7 linked regions of the Callithrix jacchus genome follow. The protein of the gene in region 5 interacts with the protein of the main gene of each other region in a pairwise test. Links are inferred from orthologs where the notes say so. Each region holds a gene or a part of one and is shown on either strand. Other genes may lie near its edges. The genes, in order: TROAP, GEM, UBQLN1, BAG1, TRIM23, CARD9 and MORN4.

What was found.
Region 1: the proteins of TRIM23 (region 5) and TROAP interact in binary tests that used the Homo sapiens proteins (3 or more experiments, as listed by UniProt). The two-hybrid records come from large-scale screens. The link is inferred for Callithrix jacchus from reciprocal best matches to the Homo sapiens genes TRIM23 and TROAP.
Region 2: the proteins of TRIM23 (region 5) and GEM interact in binary tests that used the Homo sapiens proteins (3 or more experiments, as listed by UniProt). The two-hybrid records come from large-scale screens. The link is inferred for Callithrix jacchus from reciprocal best matches to the Homo sapiens genes TRIM23 and GEM.
Region 3: the proteins of TRIM23 (region 5) and UBQLN1 interact in binary tests that used the Homo sapiens proteins (3 or more experiments, as listed by UniProt). The link is inferred for Callithrix jacchus from reciprocal best matches to the Homo sapiens genes TRIM23 and UBQLN1.
Region 4: the proteins of TRIM23 (region 5) and BAG1 interact in binary tests that used the Homo sapiens proteins (3 or more experiments, as listed by UniProt). The two-hybrid records come from large-scale screens. The link is inferred for Callithrix jacchus from reciprocal best matches to the Homo sapiens genes TRIM23 and BAG1.
Region 6: the proteins of TRIM23 (region 5) and CARD9 interact in binary tests that used the Homo sapiens proteins (3 or more experiments, as listed by UniProt). The two-hybrid records come from large-scale screens. The link is inferred for Callithrix jacchus from reciprocal best matches to the Homo sapiens genes TRIM23 and CARD9.
Region 7: the proteins of TRIM23 (region 5) and MORN4 interact in binary tests that used the Homo sapiens proteins (3 or more experiments, as listed by UniProt). The two-hybrid records come from large-scale screens. The link is inferred for Callithrix jacchus from reciprocal best matches to the Homo sapiens genes TRIM23 and MORN4.

The regions. Positions count from the first base shown.
Region 1 is NC_133510.1:70,249,274-70,253,232, reverse strand, and holds the start of TROAP (tastin), read left to right. Parts: upstream 1-1,159; 5' UTR 1,160-1,257; intron 1,258-1,511; 5' UTR 1,512-1,516; coding exon 1,517-1,660; intron 1,661-1,752; coding exon 1,753-1,945; intron 1,946-3,729; coding exon 3,730-3,887; intron 3,888-3,959. UniProt on the Homo sapiens protein: Could be involved with bystin and trophinin in a cell adhesion molecule complex that mediates an initial attachment of the blastocyst to uterine epithelial cells at the time of the embryo implantation.
Region 2 is NC_133517.1:32,950,508-32,953,883, reverse strand, and holds the end of GEM (GTP-binding protein GEM), read right to left. Parts: coding exon 3,262-3,376; intron 1,833-3,261; coding exon 1,555-1,832; 3' UTR 501-1,554; downstream 1-500. UniProt on the Homo sapiens protein: Could be a regulatory protein, possibly participating in receptor-mediated signal transduction at the plasma membrane. Has guanine nucleotide-binding activity but undetectable intrinsic GTPase activity.
Region 3 is NC_133502.1:99,347,301-99,350,800, reverse strand, and holds part of UBQLN1 (ubiquilin-1), read right to left. Parts: intron 3,474-3,500; coding exon 3,331-3,473; intron 606-3,330; coding exon 522-605; intron 1-521. UniProt on the Homo sapiens protein: Plays an important role in the regulation of different protein degradation mechanisms and pathways including ubiquitin-proteasome system (UPS), autophagy and endoplasmic reticulum-associated protein degradation (ERAD) pathway.
Region 4 is NC_133502.1:140,446,531-140,450,030, reverse strand, and holds part of BAG1 (BAG family molecular chaperone regulator 1), read left to right. Parts: intron 1-1,909; coding exon 1,910-2,017; intron 2,018-2,862; coding exon 2,863-2,925; intron 2,926-3,478; coding exon 3,479-3,500. UniProt on the Homo sapiens protein: Co-chaperone for HSP70 and HSC70 chaperone proteins. Acts as a nucleotide-exchange factor (NEF) promoting the release of ADP from the HSP70 and HSC70 proteins thereby triggering client/substrate protein release.
Region 5 is NC_133503.1:143,899,839-143,903,338, forward strand, and holds part of TRIM23 (E3 ubiquitin-protein ligase TRIM23), read left to right. Parts: intron 1-2,126; coding exon 2,127-2,256; intron 2,257-2,785; coding exon 2,786-2,896; intron 2,897-3,500.
Region 6 is NC_133502.1:184,840,937-184,844,081, forward strand, and holds part of CARD9 (caspase recruitment domain-containing protein 9), read right to left. Parts: intron 1,351-3,145; coding exon 1,159-1,350; intron 771-1,158; coding exon 729-770; intron 392-728; coding exon 343-391; intron 1-342. UniProt on the Homo sapiens protein: Adapter protein that plays a key role in innate immune response against fungi by forming signaling complexes downstream of C-type lectin receptors.
Region 7 is NC_133513.1:90,442,125-90,446,146, forward strand, and holds the start of MORN4 (MORN repeat-containing protein 4), read right to left. Parts: upstream 2,801-4,022; 5' UTR 2,592-2,800; intron 1-2,591. UniProt on the Homo sapiens protein: Plays a role in promoting axonal degeneration following neuronal injury by toxic insult or trauma.

The sequences.
Region 1 (3,959 bases), on a different chromosome or scaffold from region 5:
AGGGGTTGCTCCTTTCATCTTAAGGAGGATATTCTAGGATCTCTCAGCCTCCCAGCCCTGCCCACCAATAATCATCAGGTGAGCCCTCTCTCCCAAGACCTCTAGATCGGCAAAAGGCAACCTGGAGGCAAGGAAACCCCCAGCTGTGAGTAGCCATTCAATTCTGGTGCTGTGGTAACTGAGTTTAAAAACAATTAGTTTTGTTTCCTCTCCGTGAAATGAAGAAAACCTCACCAGACACCTCACTGGGTTCTGAGGCTCCAAGGAGCACATGTTGTTAGGCTCAGTTGGATTCCCTCCAGCCTTCTCTGCCCATTTGAAGGCAGTTCCTTATCCTGGAGACAACGTGAAGATGTTCTCTTTGTTTGTTTATTTGTTTATTTTAAAGACAGGGTCTCTCTCTCTCTTTCTGTTGACCAGGCTGGAGCGCAGTGGCGCGACCACAGCTCACTGCAGCCTCAACTTCCTGGGCTCAAAACAATCCTCCTGCCTCAACGTCCAGAGCAGCTGGAACTACAAGCGCACACTACTGCACTGGGACTATTATTACTTTGTTATTATATTTATTATTATTATAGAGACACGGGTGGGGGTGGTCTCACTATGTTGCCCAGGCTGGTCTCGAACTTATAGCTCAAGAGATCCTCCCGCCTTGGCGTCCCAAAGTGCTGGGATTACAGGACCAACGCGCGCGGACGCAGAGGTTTTCTATGAGCCTCTGGAATGGCGTTCCCAAAGCTTGGCGCCATGCCTTGGTCAAACCGGGTCGGGGGCTCGGGCCAGCCTGCAGCACCGTTAGCTGCAATCAGAACGATCAACTGTTCCCCTAATGCTGCGATGGCCCTTTGCTGCCAATAGTCGGCCCCTCGCCGGTCCCGAAGCATCGCGAGAACACAACCGCTCCGGCGGACTACTCTACTCAGAGGGCTACGCCTTTCCCGGCCTCAGAACAGCCCCATCCTTCCTCTTTCCCCGCCTTCCAGCCGCGCTCCGCTTTCGGATTGGCTGATTGAGCCGAGGCAGTTTTTTTTCCTGGCCAGAAAGTGGTTCGACAACTGGTCCTTCTTTTGGCCCTTCCTGCGAAGCCCGCGGATTGGACGGCTGATTCCGGCTACACGCGCCTCCGAGGGAGCGCGGCCGGGCCAATCAGGAGCTTGGCGTATTTTACAAACTGGGGAAGTAGCTGTAGCCTGCAGTAGCTGAAAGTCGAGGGAAAAGCTGAGAAGGCTGAGTCGGCTCTGAGGGGCTCTCGAGAAGGTGAGGCACAGGGTTCTTTGAGAGAACGAGGGCTGCTGGGCTCAGAGGGAGGAGGGCAGTTCGGGACCCGAGGGCGAAACAGTAGGCTCGGGGTGTCTGGAGGTAGCGCCCATTAGAGCGGTCTTGCAAGGGCCGGAGGCTTGTGGGAGCGGGGATTAGGGCAGAGGTATCAGGGATGGCAGGACAGGTGCCCCGAGGACTGGTTGATCTTTGATCTCCGATTCTGCCTGCCTTCTTCCCTGTCTCAATTGTAGCCATCATGACCACCCTGCAAGCCACGAAGGATCCCCTCCTCCGGGGTGTATCTCCTACCCCTAGCAAGATTCCGGTACTCTCTCAGAGACGCACGCCTTTACCCACTGTTACATCGCGCGTCTTGGACCAGGAGAACCAAGATCCAAGGGTAAGAGGGGCCTAGTAGGGGAAGACGATAGTCACACCAGTAATGTGCCCTAATTCTAAACCCCACCTTTTTGTCCCCCCTCCCTTCCCTAGAGATGGGTGCAGAAACAACCGCTCAATATTCAACACCCCCACGTTGATTCAGCAGGCTCCAGGCCGAAAGCCAAGCACCAAGCAGAGACATCACGAAGATTGGTGGGGACCACTCAGCATCGAAACCCCTTGGAGGAGCTCAGGCCTAGTCCCGGGGGTCAAAATGTGGGGCCTGGGCCCCCTGCCCAGACAGGTACCTGTTGGAGCCCTGGGACCACAGCCTCCATGGCTGAGTAGGGAACTAGGAAGAGTAAAAGTGGGGTTTTGGGATTTTGCACTCACTCCTGCTTACTGTAATAGTCCTGGTCCCAGTTCCTGGAAAGCTCTTTGCTCTTATAAGGCCTCGCTTTCCTCCAGCAAAATGTCATCTTGCCAGGTGTGATGGCTTGTGGCTGTAATCACAGCTACTCAGGAGGCTGAAGCTGATGGATCACTGGAGGCCAGGAGTGAGACCAGCCTGGGAGACAGAGGGAGATCCCATCTCTTAAAAAAAAAGAGTCAGCCGGGCGCGGGGGCTCAAGCCTGTAATCCTAGCACTTTGGGAGGCCGAGGCGGGTGGATCACTAGGTCAAGAGATCAAGACCATCCTGGTCAACATGGTGAAACCCCGTCTCTACCAAAAATACAAAAAATTAGCTGGGCATAGTGGCACATGCCTGTAATCCCAGCTACTCAGGAGGCTGAGGCAGGAGAATTGCCTGAACCCAGGAGGCAGAGGTTGCAGTGAGCCGAGATAGCGCCATTGCACTCCAGCCTGGGTAAGGAGCGAAACTCCGTATCAAAAAAAAAAGTCATTTCTTCTGAAGAGTTTTCCAGTTCCCCACATCATAATCAGTTGCTCTGTGTTCTCTTAATACTTTGCAGTACTTCTTTTATAACATGTATATACCTTGGCTTGAGTGTTATCAGTCTATAGTTTGATGATAGCTTCTTGAGGATAGGGGCTTTGTCTTATTCTTTTGGGGCCCCAGTGCTTAGAATAATGTCTTATGTAACATTTTACAAACATTTGGTGGCGAGGTGTGGTAGCTCACGCTGTAATTCCAACACTTTGAGAGGTCGAGGCAGTAAGATCACTTGAGCTCAGGAGTTTGAGTCCAACCTGGGCAACATAGTGAGACCCTAACTCTATTTTCTCTCTTCTCTTCTCGAGATAGTTTCACTCTATTCCTCAAGCTAGAGTGCCGTGGTGAAATCTGAGCTTACTGCAACCTCTGCCTTCCAGGTTTAAGCGATTCTCATGTCTCAGCCTCCCCTGAGTACCTGCCACCATGCCTGGCTAATTTTTGTTTTTTGTTGTTTTTTATTTTTCTGAGATGGAGTCTCACTGTCACCCAAGCTAGAGTGCATTGGCACTGTGTCAGCTCACTGCAAACACCGTCTCCTGGGTTCAATCAATTCTCCTGCCTCAGCCTCCAGAGTTGCTTGGATTACGGGTACCTACCACTCGCAGTTAATTTTTTTTTTTTTTTTGAAATGGAGTCTCTCTCTGTTGACCAGGCTGGAGTGCAGTGGCGCAATCGCGACTCACTGCAACCTCTGCCTCCCGGGTTCAAGCAATTCTCTGCCTCAGCCTCCCAAGTAGCTGGGATTACAGATGCCCACCACTACACCCAACTAATTTTTGTATTTTCACCATCTTGGCCAGGCTGGTTTTGAACTCCTAACTTCGTGATCCACCCCCTCGGCCTCCCAAAGTGCTGGGGTTACAGGCGTGAGCTATTGCACCAGCCAATTTTTATATTTTTAGTAGAGACTGGGTTTTACCATGTTGGCCAGGCTGGTCTTGAACTTCTGAACTCAGGTAATCTTCCTGCTTTGGCCTCCCAAAATGCTGGGATTACAGGTGTGAGCCACTGCACCCAGCCATCTATTTCTAAAAAAAAAAAAATGCCAAAATCAAGGTGAGTTTGCTAGGGTCCCTCTGCCCTCCCCTTTCTGTTCTTTCTCACCTTTCCTTCTCCTCTTTCCTTGCAGAGGCTGCAGGGGCCATAGAGTTTGTGGCTGATCCTGCAGCCCTGGCCACCATCCTGTCAGGTGAGGGTGTGAAGAGCTGTCACCTGGGGCGCCAGCCTAGTCTGGCTAAGAGAGTACTGATTCGAGGAAATCAGGGAGGCACCACCCAGAGGGGCCAGGTAATGAAACACGATGTGAGGGGACCAGGCTGGGGGCTCTTAGGGGGGCATCCTGAGCTGTGCTCATGGTCC
Region 2 (3,376 bases), on a different chromosome or scaffold from region 5:
CAAGTGATTAATGTCAAGCTGTATTAATGTCAGAGGGGAGAATTTGGTGAAAGCTTTGCCTGGCTAGATCTCAGGCTGGAAATCACTAGTCTCCTTTATTTTATTTCCCCCTTATCCTTTATAACTTCCTCTAATGCCTTAGTCAAGCTGAAGACCATGAGCCTCCAGGGAGCAAAGTGAGGCCCATCTGTTCAGTCAGGCATGTGCCAGACCAAAATAAAAGGTCAATCTGGCTTTTCCTATAACTTAGCATTGAGATAACCCCAAATACTTTCCAATGGTATCAGCCAAAAATAACTTTGCATTATCATGAATTGTGATTTCAGAGCAGAGCTGTCAGGGATACTCTTTAAAACAGATGATTACTGGGCTATTGCTAGTGAGAAAAGGAAAAAAAACAATAGGTATATGTCTCTTTGGAATATACCATATGTGCTTGCTCTAAAGGCTGCAGAAGAATAATCTTAATCATCTTGCTTGGGAGGAAAATCAATCAAGAATGCCTTTTTCCAAATATTTTATTTCTTTTATTATAAGACATATAGGTAAAAACTTGCATATTTTGAAAAAGATAGAAAATGGTAATAAAATGGATATTTTTCTTATTAAGAAATATGTTCATAAATATGCTTTATCAAATGTTAAAATGATTATTTTGCAAAATAATAATAAATAGAGCAGAGCTGTGGCATACAAGGGTCAACCAAAGTACTGGAATTTTTTATGCTATATGTTTTATAAAAATTCAGACTTTGAATTATACATTAAAAATTGACATTTTACACTCTAGGGTATCAATAATTCTGATTTTTATGATGGCTCCATGAATTCAAAAATAACAAAACATAAAAGGTGGTTTGACAAAATAGAATCTGATTCAAATAATTTACCCCTAAATAAGAAATTGTAAGATATATAATTTTTGAGCCTATAAGGGTACATGTATCAGTTCCCAATTCTACAAGTATTGGTGGACATTGAAAAAAACTGTTTGCTAAGCCTCAGTTTCCAGCAAGGTCCACATCATTTCTTTTCACAGTTTGATGGAGCAGTAATAGTCATGATTCTGATGAGCTTAGTTCTACAATTCTAGCTCCAAGGATCTTAGATACATAGAAAGTTTTCCCCCCTTTGAATAAACTCATTGACAGCTTTCTTATATTTGTTTATGACCCAATGGCCTCAAAGTCACATATCAGAACACTGGGCAAAATTTTAATGATGAAAAGTTCTTGTTCTAGGCATTCTTTGTAAGCTTTACTTCTCTACTATCCAAAAGAGAAGAAACACATGAGAACACCAAACACATCCTCTAATGAGTCTTGGATGTTCAAATAGCAAGGTCAGGCTTTTCCTGGAAATAAATACTGACTCTTTACAAAGATCTTTCATTTCCCATGCATCATGTGGCCCAAGAGGCTAATACACTAGCTCCCTGCTACAATGGGGGAAACCACATCTAACAATACTTAAGTATCCAATCTAATATAGATTATTAGTCCCAATGGCCTTCAACAATGTCCATCAAAGGGACATTTGGGTAACTCTCGGTTCCTAGAGCACAGAGAGGTCATGGCAGGATTTGGACTTGAGCTTGAAGGCCATATTCTTGTTGTTTTTGGCCACAATCTTGCCCCAGAAGCGCCTGGCTTTCCTGGGCATGCTCTCCTTCCTCTTCTGGTAGGCCAGCCGCCGCTCGTTCTTCTCCTTGCTGTCCCGCCGAAGGCGCACCTGCCGCACGATGCCCTCAAACAGCTCCTTCACGTTGTGCTGGACAGCCGCAGAGGTCTCGATGAACTTGCAGTCGAACACCACAGCGCAAGCTCTTCCTTCTGGGAAGCAAAGGAAGGGAAAGAGGTCAGAGGGGCTGCAGAGCACAGTCCTGCACAGCACACAGTCAAGCTGGATGGTTCTTCAAGGTAACACTAAGTCAGTCATATATGCAGTGGATAGAGGACGCCACTGTGGCATGGGCCTTCCCAGGGCATGAATAGAAAATATCTCACTGGAGGATCCCTGGAAGCAAGCACTATGGGCTTTAGACCTGGTCCACAACGAATTCACTGTCTGAAGGTTCCATTTCATCAAATACAGTGATATTAGTTATAACAGTAAAAGCCATAGCCTTAATTTACTGCAGACTTACAATGTGCCAAAAACAAGGCTTAGTTCTTTGTAAACACTGTTTTCAATGTCCACAACAATCTTGGAAAATACATTACTAGCCCCATCAAATACATGAAGAAACCAAGGGGAGCCCCCTGCAGGTGAAGTTTACACAGCCTGTAAGTGGCAGTGATGCCGGGCCTGCTCCATTCTCAAGCCCATACTCTTAACTCTTTCTCCTGACCCAGTTTCCTGAATTGAGAATAAGAATTCTACTATTTGGCTTTCCTCTCCTGAAAAAAAAGCAATGATGAGATATCTTTGGAAAAAATTGAGAATTTTACAAATGTGTAATTCAATTAGAGCAAATTATACAAGCCTTTCTGAGACAGTCTCAATTCTCAATTTCAAATATTTCATTGTGTTTAATGATCATGCAGCAAGATTTGGTTTGGGAAAATACTGTCGACAGTTGTTCCTAGTAGGAAGACATTCCCAAACTAATGTGTACATTGCCTCTATTAGCATGTACGTGGTCTTTCCTCCTGAGCAGTGCCTGGCAATGCAGTATTTTATTTTTATAATTGTATCAGGGATCAAGTCTGAATTAGGCCAGTAAAATCTCAAGGGCTGTAAAAGCACCTGGGTGCCCGCTCAGCAGACAGAGATTTTCCCTGAACTAAGTATGAAGAAGAATATGTGACACCATCAGACTGATGCTTTAACTGAAATTTCAGAAGCCAGGGATGCGGAGTAGGACAGTGTTTCTAGGGTGTACAGGGACCAGAGTCAGCCAGAGTAGAATTCTTTTTCTTCAATGAAACTCTTTCTCATGGTTCTCCTAAATCAGAGTTTCCTATCCTTCCTGCATGAAGAAGCTCCTTTCATTTCCCTGTACTCTTGGGAATTCCAGGAAACCGCTTGGAAGCAGGAAGATTAGCACCCTGCAGGTAGACCACATGGACAAGGGAGAGCAACCAGTGTGGAGGAGACCCATTGCAGCAGTAGGAGACTTAGAAATACACCTAAAATTTCATATAGCATCTTAATGAGTTCCTGGATCCAGCCTCCCAGAAGGAAGGAAGAGCCCTTGACCAAAGGAAAACACACGTGGCCCAGAGATTGTTTCTACGGTACTGGCTCTACTCCTCTTACCTGATACAGACACTTCCCGGCACCGGACTAAGTCACTTTTGTTGCCAACCAAAATGATGGGAATGTCCTCTGTCTGCCGGGCCCTGCGGAGCTGGATTCGCAGCTCAGATGCCTT
Region 3 (3,500 bases), on a different chromosome or scaffold from region 5:
ATCTCAAGTACTTGTTTATAACATAACCTTCCTTATATGACAACACTGACCATTTTAATCACTAATCCCGAGTTTGAGGAAATGAGATCTACCCCTTGGGGAAAAAAAGCATTCTATTAATTTGGAAGAAAACAACCTGTAAAATAGAATAGGGTAGCTCTTTCCTGTTACTCAAAATTAGTTAAACCATAAAGCGTAACATGACACAAGGAAGCACTTCAAAGTTAGTACAGTGAAAGGAAATGGTTTATGGTATTAACAAAGCATTCAAAATCCTAGGTCCTCAAAAGCAAAAACGAAATGGTTCTTTCCTCAGAATTTATGTTTGAGAAACATAAGCAAAAAGTCAGCAGTGAAATGGGACTCTGTTAAGATAGGGCTGAATTCTCTACGAATTGACAGCATTATCAGTCTCTATTCCATGTTTTGCTATCAGCCAGAGAAGAACAAGGAAAATGTTCATCATCAAATTTTTTCAAGCAAATCATTACCCAAGATAGCTAACATCTTGTCTTACTCACTTGTTGGAGGAAAGTTGGGAGCTGTTGTCTCATTTGTTCTTGAAGCTGAGGATTTCCAGCAAATAGGGGATTATTCAGCATCATCTATGGGGCAAGTGTTCAAACAATTTTTACTGGAAATATCTGAAACAAGTAATGTACCTTGTTTTATTCTACCTTCCCCCAAGTGCCTAAACTGGCACTTAAAAGGGAGGAAGGTAGAACATAAATAAAAAAGGAAAAGGGAAGATACTGTCCACAAGAGGGATCTCCAGAACAACAAAAACAAAAGCGATGCATCTTCTCTCTCAATGAGAATGGTGGTTATGGTAATGACATGCAATATCCTAAAAAATAAAAGCAATCATTTTCTTAGGCTTTTCCTTGAACAAAGGTCAATACTTGCCATTGAAAGAAAAATGAGAGTAACTGGCATTCATGAAGATATATTTTCTACTACACTGACAGAATAAACATAAACATCAATACATGAAACTATGTAACATGGCTTGCTTAGAAACCTCAACACACAAGTGGCAAGCACGAGAAAATCCAGATCTGAAAAGGACCACTACATCTACCTGCCTACTACAAAACTGCTAATATTAGGTCCAAAAAAATAACACCACAAAACAGCAACCAACTTGCCAGAGAAATGGAGCTGCTAGGTGAAAATCAGCCAGGCCTAGCACCAACAGTCCTCTGGGGAAAGTATTAAAATAATTTAAGACCTAAAAGATGTAAATCCATTTGAGAACACCAAGATTAGCATCTGGATTTCACCTCACTACCACCAGAGATGAGAAAAGTGGCATCTCCTAACCTTCAAATAAATGTTTAGAATTTAAAAATCAGAATCAGTATTAGTATGATGTCATATACCTGAAAATAAGATTAAAATACACAATCAGCATAACCAGAAACTAATAAATTCTCATAGCGTCAAAAGACACACTTTATATCATTTTCCCCAGAGTAAAAAGTCAACTAGCAAGGATTTACTGATAGCCTATTTACCTATCCAAAGTCTGGGGAGGAAATGATCCTCACCCTCAAGTAGTTAACCGTATTTAAGACCAATGTAAATGCTGGTAGAGAAAATTTGCCCCAATTCTTGCAAAGTGGATCTTTTAGTTAATTTTAATATAATAACCAAAGGAGAAGTCAGATGACCTTGCAGGAACATACATATTTATTTCAAAATGACCAATAAGTTCACAGAAAGTAATACCTGCTTAAGGTCAAGAAACCCGCTTCTGTAGTGGTTCCAGTTAAATACTTCTTTATTACAAACATATTAACAAGGTTATCACACATATCTTTTGGGAGTTACTTTATTTAATCTTAAAAAAGCATGTCATCTTAAATGTATTCATTCGCAGATGATCATCTCATTCATTAGGGTATTTCTTATAACTTACCTGAGTGCTTATACCACAAGTTTACACTCCAGACTCTTTGTAAATATTTAAAACTCAAAATAGAAAAACCACACATTTTAATCTGTTGATAATAAGAACGTTGTAATAGTTTTCTAAATTATGTGTAATAAGACATGCCAATCTAGTATTAGCAGCATTTTGCTTTAGAGTAAAAAAAACAGTATGTGAGTGCTCAAGTCACTTTACTACTATAATATTATTAAAAATTGCTAGGCATGTGCTTGTTAAAGTCAAATTTTAAAAGTACGATGCACATTCAGTATTAGCCAAATACACACTTAAAATGGCTATTACAGTAAACTAAGCCATTAACAACTCAGTCTGATAAGTTTCATATGAATAAATCAATTTTCCATAAAATGTACCTCCAATAAACAAAATCAAAGACACAAAAATTCTTCTTAAAATGTATTATTTCCAATTCCACAAATTTGGTGAGGGCTGAGAATTATACATCGAAGATACTTGAATCAATATACTTCTAGAATTTAGAAAATAAAAACCATTCATTTGACTTAAAACTTTTAAAATTTAAGGAATGGGATTAACTATAAAGTGTTTCAAATTCCTGACACACTACAGCAGTTGTTTCTAATAAACAGCAAATATAAACTACAGATGATCAAGGTTTATTTCATTCTCCGTGGTTTCTTAAGCCCTATGGTATGGAACCTAGACAGTACCTAGGGAACTTGAGGGGGAAGGGGTTTTCAGATGCAATTATATCAAAATCTCTAAGGATGGGGCCAAAGCATCAGAACTGTCTGTAAAGCTTCCCAAGTGTTCCTGAAAGTTCAGCAAACTTTGAGATCCCCTAATTTTCTTAGTTTTAGTCTCTTTAGAAACAAATTAGAAAAAGGAATACATTAATAAGGGATAAGCATACTATCTTCAGCAGGGGAATCAATAGTTGAAAGAATGAGAACATTGTTTTGACAAATTCCCATCTTTAATAAAGACTTCCTGCTATTTTACAACTGCCATTTTGAGCATGACTATTATAATCTTAGTGATCTACTAAATAAAACTATTTCAAATGTATTAACACTGCTATTACTTGCTTTCAAGATTAACATTTCATTAAATAGTGTATCTTCAAAAGAGAGGGCATTACAGCACTTTGTACTTGTCTCCTAACTCAACATATGTAGAAACAAAGTAAACCTATACCTCTTTCTAGTCAATGAATGACAGAGATAAAGTTGTTTTAATTATATATGAAGTATTTAATTACTACAAAGAAACACATGGTCTAAAAAAATTGGAGACACAGTTTACTTACTTTTCTAGTACATTAAGATATCATACACAACACAAATGTGCCAAAATCACAATTACTAGATTAGGTTCACATTGCACAGTCCTTTTCAATGCAAATACAAACTCACCTGTGCAGCAAGGTCAGGATTCTGGCTTAGTGACTGCATCATGCTTCTCATGTAGGGGGCAGACAACATGTTTTGCATAAGTTGTGGGTTTTCAGTTATTTGTTGCAACAAGCTCTGCATTCCTGGAGTGTTGAACATACTAGCTGAAAGTTTGTTTTAAAAAAAACAAA
Region 4 (3,500 bases), on a different chromosome or scaffold from region 5:
CCTATTCAATTCTTTATATTAGAGATGGGGTACTAAAACCCAGCACAGATTAGGACTAGCTCAAGACCACATATTTCTTTTTTTCTCTCATTTTGTAACATTAATTGGTGTGTGTTTGTGTTTTGGCATTTATTTATTTATTATTTAGAGACAGAGTCTCACTCTGTCACCCAGGCTGGAGTACAGTGGCGTGATCTCAGCAGCTCACTGGCAACCTCTACCTCCCGGGTTCAAGTAATTCTCCTGCCTCAGCCTCGGCTCTGCCTGCCACCACACCCATCTAATTATTTTGTATTTTTAATAGAGATGGGGTTTTACCATGTTGGCCAGGCTGGTCTCAAACTCCTGAGCTCAAGTGATCTGCCTGCCTCAGCCTCCCAAAATGCTGGGATTATAGGAGTGAGCCACCACTCCTGGCCTATATGTTTGTGTTTTAACTACAGAATACATGCTGACTGTACAAAAGTTTTAAGTACATGTGTAGGCACTAATATGGAAAATAAAAATTACCCACGAGGCCCTAACTCAGAGATGACATTACCAAAGCCTGAAATGTATTTTTCATCTTAAAAAAATATTTGGTATAGGCCGGGCGCAATAGCTCACACCTATAATCCCAGCGCTTAGGGAGGCCAAGGCTTGTGGATCACCGAAGGTCAGGAGTTCAAGATCAGCCTGGCCAACATGGCGAAACCCCATCTCTACTAAAAATACAAAAATTAGCTGAGTATGGTGGCAGGCGCCTGTGATCCCAGCTATTTGGGAGACCGAGGCAGAAGAATCACTTGAACCTGGGAGGTGGAGGTTGCAGTGAGCCGAGATTGTGCCACTGCACTCCTGCCTAGGTGACAGAGAGAGACTTCCTCTCAAAAAAAAAATTTTGGGCCAGAAGGAGGATGGGAAGAAAAAAAACAAAAAAAAATTTTTTTTGCTATGTTATGTATGCTTTGTAAATTATTCTTTTATTGGATAAAAAATTAAACATTTTCTCATCTACTACTAAAAGAAAAAAAAATTAAACATTTTCCTGTGATGGTACTTTTCAAAGCTTGCATTTCATCTTATATAAATGTTTCATTTACCTTGCCAATTCTGTATTATTCATTATGTAATATTATTTTTAGTATTTTGTGTAATGCTTCTTTGAATATCCTTAGACATAAATCTTTTTTGACTGTTCTTGATTTTTTGGTAGAATAAATTCTTTGAGTTGAAATTGCTGGGTGATGTTTAAAGCTCTTGTTACATGTTATGAAATCTATATCTGTAGCTCTTGGCCGTGATAAACATCCTCAGAGATCCCTGCTATCCAGCAGGTAACTGGTCATTAGGCCAAGCTGTATGAATGAACCATTAGACAATTTAATAAAAGTAAGCACTGCTGCCATTCGTTAGCATGTGTCTGTGCCACAAGTTAATTACACATATACATATATTCCCTTTGCCTCGCAGTAACCCTCTAGGGTGTGGGTATTATAATCTTCTTTTTTTAAATGAGAGTACTGAGGCATGAATAGTCTTAAGTAATTTGTTCAAGAATACTTGTTAGTCAGTGGCAGTCGGGATTCATACCTAGGCTTTGAAGACTCTAAGCCTGTGCTTTTAACATCTGCCTCTTGTGTGCTGGTATACACTTGTGACTAGGGGCTTCACTGGAGCCAAGCCTCAGGAGGCATTTGCAGCCACAGTGCGTCATGTGAGGTAGAGCAGACTACAACCCAATAGAATTCTTAGACTGGCCCAAGGCCAGCCTTTATAATTTTTCCAAGAGATGAAGTTGTGGATCTGACATGTTACCTGGCCTGCCAGGGCTGTGTTGGACTCAGTGTGGTCGCTTCATTAGTATCGCAGCGTGGAATTTTCTATCAGCCTCAAAGAACCCTTGCAATAATGCATTATTCCCCCACAGGGTTTTCTGCCCAAGGATTTGCAAGCTGAAGCTCTCTGCAAACTTGATAGGAAAGTAAAAGCCACAATAGAGCAATTTATGAAGATCTTGGAGGAGATTGACACACTGGTAAGTAAATATTCAGCTGAGAAGAACTAGTTTTCTTTGACTTTCTTTCAGTCACTTTCACTCTTTCAATAATGTACTCTCCTATTGCCTGAGCAAACCCATCACTTGAGAATATTAAGCATATACTATTGTGTGCCATCACATTGCTAGGTCCTGGGTGAGTGCACAATAATAAGACAGTTCCTGCTTTCTAGGCACTCACAGCCCTCCAGCATAGGACTTTTATCATTTATACTTATGTTTGTCAGTAGCATCTCTAATCAACATGAAGCTGGGACCCAAGTAGTCCACAATCTCGTGGTCAAGGAAACAGAGGACTTCACTTTCTCTGCTCCTCATGTGACTGATCATTCTGCAGGGCTACTTACTTATAGAGGATTCAGCCAGACCCAGATCTTATCAGGCTGTTGAAAACCATTAACTCAGGTTCTCTTTTGCAGATAGTAGTATGATATTAGCCTGATGTTTCATTCTTGACGGTGACCTGTGCTGTGTGCTTCTGTTGGCCAGAGTTGTAAAGCAGCAGCAGCAGGCACTTTTCCTGTCACAGTGAGCCCACAGTCTGGCCAGGGCAGAGTATCCATACATAGGAAACAATAAAAGAACAAAGTCTGTGTTACAGATCTGTTCCTATGGCCCAGACGTTGAGAACAGAGGGAGCTTTTATAGGGACAAGAGCCATGGAAGGGCCATATGGGATACAGACCCAGGGAAGGCGTTCTTGAAAATGCACGTTTATTTACATTGGTGACCTGTGACCCGTTTTATGTACTGTGGGTGTTTCTTATGTGTTCTCATGTCATTTTCACTGAGGATTATTTATGTGTCAACTTACTCTTCCATAGATCCTGCCAGAAAATTTCAAAGACAGTAGATTGAAAAGGAAAGGCTTGGTAAAAAAGGTTCAGGTGAGTTGTGTCATAGTGCATGACAAAGTGTAATATGTTAATATGTTGGTATGTGTGTTTATCTGTTCAAAGTCGAGTAATATAGAAGGATGGTGTGTGGTATGTGCTTGTTTTGGTTATTGTTCATTTATCAGCAAGGACCCCAAACATCAGAGAAGAGCCCCCTATATCCCTATAATTATATTTGAATTTAAACTATTTAGGGAGGGAACTCACTGGAGAGCAGACAGAGTTGACACGTTACACAATTCCAGGAGGCAGTATTCATGCATACAGTGCCCCCTGCAATTGTTCAGTGGCCTCGCGGCAAAGCTTTTGTGGCCTTTCCCACCTTTTAGGGGATTGCTGGCCTAGAGCGTGGTCAGAGACCCTGGTCCTATGCTTCCTCCCTCCCCTTACCTTGGAGCCCAGGCTAGTTGCCCATCTCCATTCATGCACAGTCTGTTTTGGGTCTCAGTCATGGGTTCCCCAGAATGTCTAGGCAAAGAGCCTTGTGTGGGCAGTGGTTGGCTATCCCAGGATGGGCCCTCACTGCCCCATGTGTATTTTCTAGGCATTCCTAGCCGAGTGTGACA
Region 5 (3,500 bases):
TTGTTTTCTTAATTTCCTTTTTGGATTTTTAAGTATACAGAAATGCAACTGATTTTTGTTTTGATCTTATATCCTGAAATTTTGTTGACTGTATTCTTTTTTTTTCTTGATAGTTTCCTTTATTTTTCACTTTCAGAAACTGCCACCTTCACAACCACTACAACAACAAAAATTTATATTTGCCACAGCGAGAGCATAACTGATCACAGTTTCCCTGAATTCAAGTCACTTGAAGTCAGCTACTCAGTTTGGCTGACATTCTTTTGATGTTCAATATTGGTAATCTGAACATTATGTTAATCCTTCCTGATTTCTTCAATGAAATAGTTATCTCGCTGCAAACTACAATCAAATTAATATAGTTTGAAGTGTCAAAATATTTATTTCCATGACTGTATTCTTTCTAATAGGTGTTTTTGTGTGGATTTTTCAGGATTTTCTACATACGAGATCATGTCATCTGTGAAGAGATATACTTTTACATTTTCCTTTACAATTTAGATGTCTTTTATTATTTTCTTGCCTAATCGCTCTGTGGGCATCTTCTTGTTCTTTATCTTACAGAAAAAGCTTTCAGTTTTTTGAGTAACATGTTAGCTGTGGGCATTTTATATCTTGTGTATGTCACACTGAGGCAGTTTCCTTCTATTCCTAGTTTGTTGAATGTTTTTATTATGAAAGGGTATTGAATTTTGTCAAATGCTTTTTCTGCAACTATTGAGATGATTATGTGTTTTTTTAATCTCATTCTATGTATTACACTGATTGATGGTGAATAATTCTTGCCTTCCAGGTATAAAGCCCATTTGATCATGGTGTACCAAATGGTTTTTTGGTTGAGTTTACTAGCAAACTGAATTCAATGTGTTGTTGAATTCAGTTTGCTAGTATTTTGTAGTTTCCTCCTGGTTGCACCTCAGCCTCAACTATGTGGGGTATGGGGAAGGGCAGGGATGAGTGCACAGAATACCCTGAATTTTCTTACCCCTTTCACTGGAATGCCTTTTTGGTTTTATGGCCTGGTGCTGTAGCTTCTTAACTGTTCTCTAGAGTTCTCATAGAAGTAATTCTCTTCCATATATTGTTTCTGAGGTGTATAACTGGATTTAAGTATAGCTTTGGAGCTGTTGCGTAGATGGTAATTAAAGCTTGTGAAGAGAATGAAAATATGTAGAATGAGAAGGGGGCCTTATACAGACCCTCAAGAATACCAACATTTAAAAGGCAGATAAAGGAAAAATTAGGAGCATCCAAAAATGGGGTAAAACCAAACCTGGGAAATTTTGTATCATAAAAGCCAAGCAAAGAGTGCTCAAAGGAATAAGCAGAAATAACACATATATGTTGGCAACTGTTGTAAGGACTTTTCATTAAAAATTAATCCTTTCAAGAATCCTATGTAAATTTTGTATTATTTTAGTCCTCCTTTTATGAAAGAAGGGAAGCAGAGAAATCATGCAGCTAGTAATAAATAAAAATGTTCATTATAGTATTGTTTGTAATATCATAAAATCAGAAATTACATAAAATCTACCAGTTGGGGGTTTGATTAAATTGTGGTTTATGGAATGTAAAGAAGCCATTAAAAGAAAAAGGTTGGTCCATATGTATTGCAAGGATTATGTAATATACTGTTGAGTGAAACACATTAGTTGTAGAGTGTGGCTGATACTTTTTAAAGAAAGTTTCTTGTGTTTCTGTATGTTGGCCAGTATGTGCATGGGAAAGTATCTGGAGGGATATACATCAGATTCATAGTGAAAATTTTTGGGAATTGAGCGGCAATTTTCATTTTAATTAATTTAGCCCTATTGTAAGGTGTTTCAGTATAGCATAAAAACATGCTTAAATAAGATTTAAAGAGGTTTCATTTGAGTTAGAAAATCTGAGAAAATTAATTGTGTATATTCTGTTATACAAAGACAAACTGGTCAGTTTTACTGAGGAAAGATTTAGCCATGGGGAAGGAATTCATCTTAAGATAAAACTCAAGATTTTGAGGAATACAACTCAGATTGCAATGATTGAGGAATGAACAGGAAATGTAGAAATAATAAAGGTGCTAAATGCTATTACTTTATAACTGTATGTCAAATTAAAAATATTTTAAAATATTTAAATTATAGGATAATCGAGTTCACATTGGACCAAAAATGGAAATTCGGGTGGTTACATTAGGATTGGATGGTGCTGGAAAAACTACTATCTTGTTTAAGTTAAAACAGGATGAATTCATGCAGCCCATTCCAACAATTGGTAAGTATTAATACTGGTTTTTACCTTAAAGGGCATTTAATAGACAAACCCTAGCTTACAGCCGAGTTCTTGTGGTCTTATTTGTTACTAATCTGTCATGGTGCTGGGCTCTTTTCTGGCTCTAAGACATCAGCATCTGAGAGAAAAAATGCAAGATTGTGTGGCTATGGGAATGAAATGTGGTTGGGGATAAAAAGAAGAAACAGTATTGGTGGGACAGTTTGAAGGAATAGAAGATTGGTGATCCTGGCTGAGGGTGTGGGGATGGGGGCAGTAGTGCAACAGAGCTGGAAGATACATGGATCCCAAGGTCCTAAGGACCTTGGTGGAGGTTTAGAGGGCTAGCAGCTGTTACAGGTATTCACTCTCCATGTAGAAGTAGGAATGGGGTTGATTAGGCTTCAGTAGATATTGCTGCATATAGATAATTGATAAATCACAATTATACACTGGGGGATTGTCTGTGTTTGATGTGTCATTCATTGTAAATGTAAATATAGTATAAAAGTTAACTTTTTTTTTAAAACAGGTTTTAATGTGGAAACTGTAGAATATAAAAATCTAAAATTCACTATTTGGGATGTAGGTGGAAAACATAAATTAAGACCATTGTGGAAACATTATTACCTCAATACTCAAGGTGAGAGTTTAAAATGACATTTAATTTTTCACATTTTTAGGATGACAGTTTTCAGTGTACTGATTTGACTAGCAAAGCTGATATTTATGATTAAATCCTTGACTATACACTTAAGTGTTAGTGGCTAGTTCCTTATCTTGTAAAAAACAAAAGTAGAAAAATTAGCATATGTACTTTTAGTTTATTCCTGATAAACCATTATTACAGAAATAAACCAGATGTAGCTTAGAAACATAGGCAGTTAAGAGTATTCTCGCTTCTCTTAACAGAGAATGTATATTATCAGTATTATATGGGTGTGATTGCTGGCAATGTAGTGGTATAGAGTTGAGTTTATGGTGTATGATTCTGCTGTTCAATTCAGTTAAACTCAGCATTTATCCCATTATAATCTCACAATAGCCCCACTCCCACATTTCTCTCATAAATAGTTGTTACCTGCAAAAGAACTTACAGTGGCTTGCTTTTGACCAAATGGTATTATATCATATACTCTACATAGGTTTTAGTCACATTTGAGTTCTATTCTACACTTTTGCCTCAGAGACCCCAACCTAAAGCTTAGACTCATGCGTCCTATTCTGTATGTTATCCTGCTTTGTAC
Region 6 (3,145 bases), on a different chromosome or scaffold from region 5:
CGTGCACCTGGGCATTTGCTCATTGCCACCTCTCTCTGCCCAAGAGGAAGCTTGGAGCAGGCAGGACTCTGCACCGTGGGGGCTGCCCTAAGGGGCACCACACTCCCCACCACAGGGAACACTTGTCCCACCAACCAGGGCCCTGGGTTCCAACTGGACTCTGGTCTGTTCTCTGGGTGCCATGTCCATTTTACTTATCCCCCAGCCCCAGCTTCCCCATCTGTGGAGTGAGGGTGGTAGAGGCCGAGACAGGCGTGTGTCACGCACGGCTGCCTGCACTGAAGATGGGCCTCGCTTGGGGCAGCTGGGAGGCCTCCGGGTGCACAGCCATCACCTCCTCACCTTTGTCTGAGAGCTGGGTGTCCTCCTCCAGGTCCTGGGGGAGCGAGAGCTTCGGAAGAGAAGCGAGATGTCCTGTTAGGCCCCTCTGCCAGGGACTGGACCTGGCCACACTGCCCACCCCAGCTCTTGGCCATCGCTGTCACCCCCTGCACAGAGCTTCTCAGCGACTCAGGCACCCAGCCAGGAAGGTCCTGCCATGAGGGTGCCAGGAGGTGGGCACTGTCCTTACCCTTTGAGCTGTCGGAGGCCTTAGTGTGTGGCTGCTTGCTCTTCCTCCACCCAGCCTGGCCACCAAGGAGGACCATGTGACGGGAAGTGTGGGGTTATGCCTGGTGGCAGCTCAGGTGAAGGAGGGGCAGCCCTATGCTGGCTGGGGTCTCACTCACCTCCTGGGAGCTCCTAGGTGAGCCATCCTCCAGGTCGGAGCTCTGCGGTCATAGAAAATGGGGTGAGTAGGCAGGCTGTGAGGGCCTAGGGCTCCCCAGACATGGAGTGGACAGGGAACAAGAGTGGGATCCTCCGGGGGGCCCTGGGCATGCCCTCAGCCACAACAACCCCCTCCATGAACAGAACCACCTGCTAGGCTACCTGATGGCCAGGCCCAGGCCCCACCCCAGCCCTGCAGCCCACTTCCTACTGGGGCCCCAATCTGCCCCTCTGCCCTCACCCCCCTTCGAGGAGGGGCTCCGTTAGGTTGGGGCCCATCACAGAGGAGGATTGGGTAAGGAAGGCCAGGGCCAGGGTATCCTGAGGCTCCATGCTCCCCGAGCCCTGTACCCCCTCAGCTCCCCTCCCTGCCCCATGCACCAGGCCCACCAGGACGAGCATCTCCAGCTGCTGCCGCCTGAGCCTGCCCTCCACGGCCAGGAGCTGCGCCTCACGCTGGAACAGCTGCAGCTGCAGCTCATCAGCCTTCTCGCCCAGCTCCCGCACGTGCTTGCGCAGCACGTCCTTCTCCTGAAGGCCCCGGGCGTGCAGGGTGTGCAGCTCCTCCCGTGTGGCGATGGCCTGACAGGACAGTGCAAGACCAACCCTCAGTGAGGCCCCAAGCTCACCCTGGGTCCTTAGCCTGACCACCCAACTCCCAGCACAGGCCCCGAGGACATCCAGCCGCTGGCTGCAGTGGCCAGCCCCAGTCCCTCCCTTTTTGTGCTCTGCGGACATGAAGCCAGCATTTGAGGGATTGTAAAGGTGACACTTAAAACAATATAAGGAAGGCTCACCCTCAGAATAGGCCCTGCAGCCCTCCTCTGTCTCCTCCCATGCCTGCACCCCCGGTGGACACAGCGTGTGCTATGCACCCCTACACATGCACACGGGATGAATTTTGGATGCAGCTTGATATGGAGAACCTGACCCTCCATAGCTAAAACTCCTTCATGAACGCAGCATGCTTTACCATCCCTGTCCCTGCCGCAGACGCTGAGGCACAGGAGCAAACATGCAGACAGAAGACGGCCTGACCACCCACGCAGCAGAGGCTGAGAGGGCCTCACCTAACGCCTGCCCACTCAGCTTCCCTAATCCCTGCCCACTCCCCCTCCCTGCACAGCCCCAAGGGAGGTCCTGTCTCGGGAGCAGCCCCAACCCCCACGCAGCACAGCTGAACCTGCCCTTTCTTCTCCAACTTGGGGTGGGCTAGGTGTGAGTGAGGCTGTGGTGGGGCCCCTACAGGAGCTCCAAGCCTGAGCTTCTCTCTCGGGGGCAGGGGCTTCCTTTATGGCCCCAGGGGTCTCGTTTTAAGGCTCCTGATTCAGGCAAACCACAGTCCAGCATTCGCTGAAGCAGCAATGGTGTCCATCAGAAACAACCTCAGAATGGGACTTGGGACGGGACCTGGGAAGCAGACACAGCCCTGTCCTTGCTGCCGCCTCAGCCTCTCAAATATCTGGGGCCACAGGCGTGGGCCACCATGTCAAATTTTTTTTTTTTTTTTAGATGGAGCCTCACTCTGTCACCCAGGCTGGAGTGCAGTGGCACGATCTCAGCTCACTGCAACCACCGCCTCCTGGATTCAAGTGATTCTCCTGCCTCAGTCTTTTGAGTAGCTGGGATTACAGGTGCCCACCAATATGCCTGGCTAATTTTTGTATTTTTAGTAGAGAAAGCGTTTCACCATGCTGGCCAGGCTGGTCTCAAACTCCTGACCTCAAGTGATCTACCCACCTCGCCCTTCCAGACTGTTGGGATTACAGGGTTGAGCCACCCCATCCAGCCAAGATTGTTTTTCAAGATTAAAAAAAGCTACTGGTAAGACAAATTAAAAGTAAAAAAAAAAAAAAAAAAAGCTACTGGTAAAACAAGACAGAAGGCTTCCATTTTCATAAAACAAAAGCAAAAAAAAAAAAAAAAAGGTTCTTTCCTATGATCCATGTTAAAGGGGAAAAAAAGAAAGAAAGAGGGAGGAAGGGAGGAAGGGAAGAAAGCAAAAAAGAGGCCGGGCGTGGTGGCTCAAGCCTGTAATCCCAGCACTTTGGGAGGCTGAGACGGGTGGATCACGAGGTCAAGAGATCGAGACCATCCTGGTTAACATGGTGAAACCCCGTCTCTACTAAAAATACAAAAATTAGCTGGGCATGGTGTGGCGTGCCTGTAATCCCAGCTACTCAGGAGGCTGAGGCAGGAGAATTGCCTGAACCCAGAAGGCAGAGGTTGCGGCGAGCCAAGATTGCGCCATTGCACTCCAGCCTGGGTGACAAGAGCGAAACTCTGGCTCAAAAAAGAAAAAAAAAAAGAAAGCAGAAAAGAAAAAAGAAAGAGAAAGGAAGGAAGAAGATGGCAGGGAGGGGAAGGGGGGGAGGGG
Region 7 (4,022 bases), on a different chromosome or scaffold from region 5:
GTCACAAGCCAAGATGATTCACACTTCTAAACAGACACCCACCCTTTCTGCACTCCTGACAGATGGGTTGCGAAAGATCAGTCCAAACATTTACATAAAAGAAAATTACTGGCTGGGCGTGGTGGCTCACACCTGTAATCCTAGCACTTTGGGAGGCCGAAGTGGGTGGATCATCTGAGGTCAAGAGTTCAAGACCAGCCTGGCCATCATGGTGAAACCCCATCTTTAAAAAAAAAAAAAAAAAAGCCGGGCACAGTAGCTCACACCTATAATTCCAGCACTTTGGGAGGCCGAGGTGGGTGGATCACGAGGTCAACAGATCAAGACCATCCTGGTCAACATGGTGAAACCCCATCTCTACTAAAAATACAAAAAATTAGCTGGGCATGGTGGTGCATGCCTGTAATCCCAGCTACTCAGGAGGCTGAGGCAGGAGAATTGCCTGATCCCAGGAGGCGGAGGTTGCGGTGAGCCGAGATCGCACCATTGCACTCCAGCCCGGGTAAGAAGAGTGAAACTCCGTCTCAAAAAAAAAAAAAAGAAAAGAAAAAGAAAATTATTATTATGTCCCTATAAACCAATACACTATTAGTCTGCACTATAGACCACATTCTTGCTACTTTTATTTTCTTCTGCCCCAGACCTTTCTTTTTTTATTTTCTTATTTCCAAACAGAACTCTGAGACAGTAATGAGAATTTTTGTTTCCATTCTTTTTATCTTTTTCTAATTTTAAGAAATCAACTTATTAAAGAACACTTTGTATTCACAGTAACCTGTGTCCAATTTAAGAGGATTTAAAAGAAAAAAAAAAAATAACATAAAGAGGAACAGGGCCAGGCCTGGTGGCTCACTCCTGTAATCCCAAAACTTTGGGAGGCCAAGGCAAGAGGATTGCTTGAGCCCAGGAGTTCAACACCAACCTGGGAAATGTAGTGAGACCTCATCTCTACCAAAAAAAAAAAAAATTAGCCAGATGTGGTGGTGCATGCCTGTAGTCCCAGCTACTCAGGAGGCTGAGGTGGGAGGACTGCTTGAGCCCAGAATTTGAGGCTGTGGTGAGCAGTGACAGCACCACACCTGCACTCCAGCCTGGGCAACAGAGCCAGACCTTGTCTCAAAAAAAAAAAAAAAAAAAAAAAGTTGAGGCAGTGGTGTGGGGAGATCCAGTTAGAGAATATTGTTTGGAGGCAGCCACCCTAACTACCCACATATACCTTCACACTGTCCCCACAAAACCACCCTTCCCAGGGTACAATAGTCTTGTCAAATTACTTCAGTAATAAAGAAAGCAGTTCATAGGCTTTTAGAATCTTAAAGAGGAGAAAATGGAGGCTTTGATAAACAAAAATTAGCATTGTTAGGAACCTCGAACAAAAAGTCAACTATTCTATTTATTTATTTATTTTGAGACGGAGTCTTGCTCTGTCACCAAGCTGGAGTGCAGTGGCCCAATCTGGGCTCACTGCAATCTGCGCCAGTCGGGTTCAAGCGATTCTCCTGCCTCAGCCTCGGGAGTAGCTGGGACTACAGGTATGCCACCATGCTCAGTTAATTTTTTTTATGTTAGTGGAGACAGAGTTTCACCATGGCCAGGATGGTCTCAATCTCTTGACCTCACCCCGCCTGGAGCAATCTTGGCTCACGGCAACTTCCGCCTGCTGGGTTCAAGCGATTCTCCTGCATCAGCCTCCCAAGAAACTGGGGATTACAGGCATGAGCCACCATGCCAGGCGAATTTTGTATTTTTAGTGGAGACAGGATTTCTCCATGTTGGTCAGGCTGGTCTCGAACTCTCGAGCTTAGGTGATCCGCCCACCTCGGCCTCCCAAAGTGCTGGGATTACAGGCTAAATATTCTTTTTCAAGTGTTTAAAATGAGCTCGAAATAACTGTTTTTTATTATAAGTCTAACCTCCTCTTTCCCCTTGTGAAAAGTAAACAAATGTATATCGTTGCTAATTGAAGAAAGTGGGAAGAAGATACTGGCGCCAAAAAGAATGTTAAAAAAAAAAAAAAAAAAAAAAAAGGCGATGATGACCTGGGGGCAATTGGGACTAGGGAGCAACACTGCCAGAATCCTATCCTATTTCAGGGGAAAAGGAATGCCTGGGCTGGGCTCCGTTACAGCAGTTATTCCTGCTGGTACCTAAGCAGTTCAGAGATGCTAGACTGCAGGAATACCACCCATCAACAAATTAAAGCAACCCCTTCCCCAGGTTTCCATATGTGGGAGTTCTCTCCACCAGTGCGACAAAGGCGGGCCCTGGGAAAACAAAGCCCTAGACCACAACAAAGCAACACCCTCTCGCGCCCCATTTTCGCGTTCCAGCCAGGCTCCTTTCCGCTACCCGGGCCCGCTCTCCCGCCTGGCAGGTATAACGCTCACACGGGTCTGCCATTCCCCGACTCAGCCTCGCAGCCCCTGCGCGCCAACCCGACTGCCGTGGACTCTTCTGGGCCTCGACCCCCGCGGTGGAGACTAAAGGGTCTAGGTTTGTGTCCCACACAGGCAGCTGCCCTCGGGTCAGCGTATCCGAGATGGACCGCGCCCCCCAGCCGGGTCATCTCGTGCTAGTTCCTCAATGCCCACCTGGCCGATTACAGTCTGTCTCGGCACCCTCCCTCCCGCGCCGCGCCTGCAGCCAACCTGGGGCCGGCCTTTCGGGATGACCGTCACGCCTCGACGCAGGGCTCCAGCGCCTCGGACTTTTCCTGGGCTCCCGGCTGCCACCTTGCTCTCTGCCACCTCCACCAGCACTTGCCCCACTTGACACCGCCATCCCGGCCACCGCACTGGGCACAATCCCCGCTGCCCATTGGCTGTTACCTAGGCAACCGCGAGCAACGCCACACTCCATTGGCCCAGCCCGTCTCCGCGCCATCTTTGTGCGGGGCGGAGTGTTTGCGAGCCGGGGCTGACTTTGTGCAAGAGAGATGGTCCCACCTCTGCAAAGCAGATAAAGACAGAGGATCGAGGTCTGGTCTACCAGAGGCCGTCTAGTTGAAATGGCAACCCAGAGAAAACCATACCTGCGCCCGAAGCAACAGTGACCATCAACGCTAACGGCTCTGATCCTGCTCCAGTCCCTACTGCTGTCAAAGGCCCCGCCGCGGAGTTTAAGGCAGATTCTAAATCCAGCTTCAGAGAAGCAGCTTTGTAAATTGTAACGCGCTGGACAGAACAGCCTCCAATAACTCTGTGCCAGACATTGTGATATCGAGACACGTTTGCATTCATTATAGGAATTCGTGCTGTCCTTGTCATTACCTAGATCCTTTGTGTTTAAAATATAGTACCTGGCCAGGCGCAGTGGCTCACATCTGTAATCCTAGCACTTTGGGAGGCCGAGGCAGGAGGATTGCTTGAGCCCAGGAGTTCCAGATCAGCCTGGGGAATACAGGAGACTCCGTATCTGCAGAAAAAAAAAAATTACCCAGCCTGGTGGTGGGTGGCTGTAGTCCCAGCTACTCAGGAGGCTGAGGTGGGAGGATCCCTTGAGCCCAGGAGGATGAGGCTGCAATGATCCTGCCACTGTACCCTAGCCTGGGCAACCTAGCAATCTCAAATAAATACATACATAAATTGCAAACCAAAAAGTATCTGAGACAGGTCTCAATCAATTTAGAAGTTTATTTTGCCAATGTTAAGGATATGAGAGTGACACAGCCTTAGAAGGTCCTAAGAACACGTGTCCAAAATAGTTGGGCTACTGCATGGTTTTATACATTTTAGGGAGACATAAAACATCAATCAATACATGTAAAATATACATTGGCTTGGTCCCAAAAGGGGTCTGGGGATGGCAGCTTCCAGGATGTAGGTGGATTCAAAGATGTGCTGATTGGCAATTTGTTGAAAGACTAAGACCTGGAACCCAAAGAAGGGAATGTCTGGATTAAATTAAGGAGGTTGTTACTAAGATATGCACACACACACACACACACACACACACAGAGTTGCAGAAACCACAAGTTGTGAAAACCAAGGTTTTTATTATGCAGAGACGCCTCCAGGTAGCAG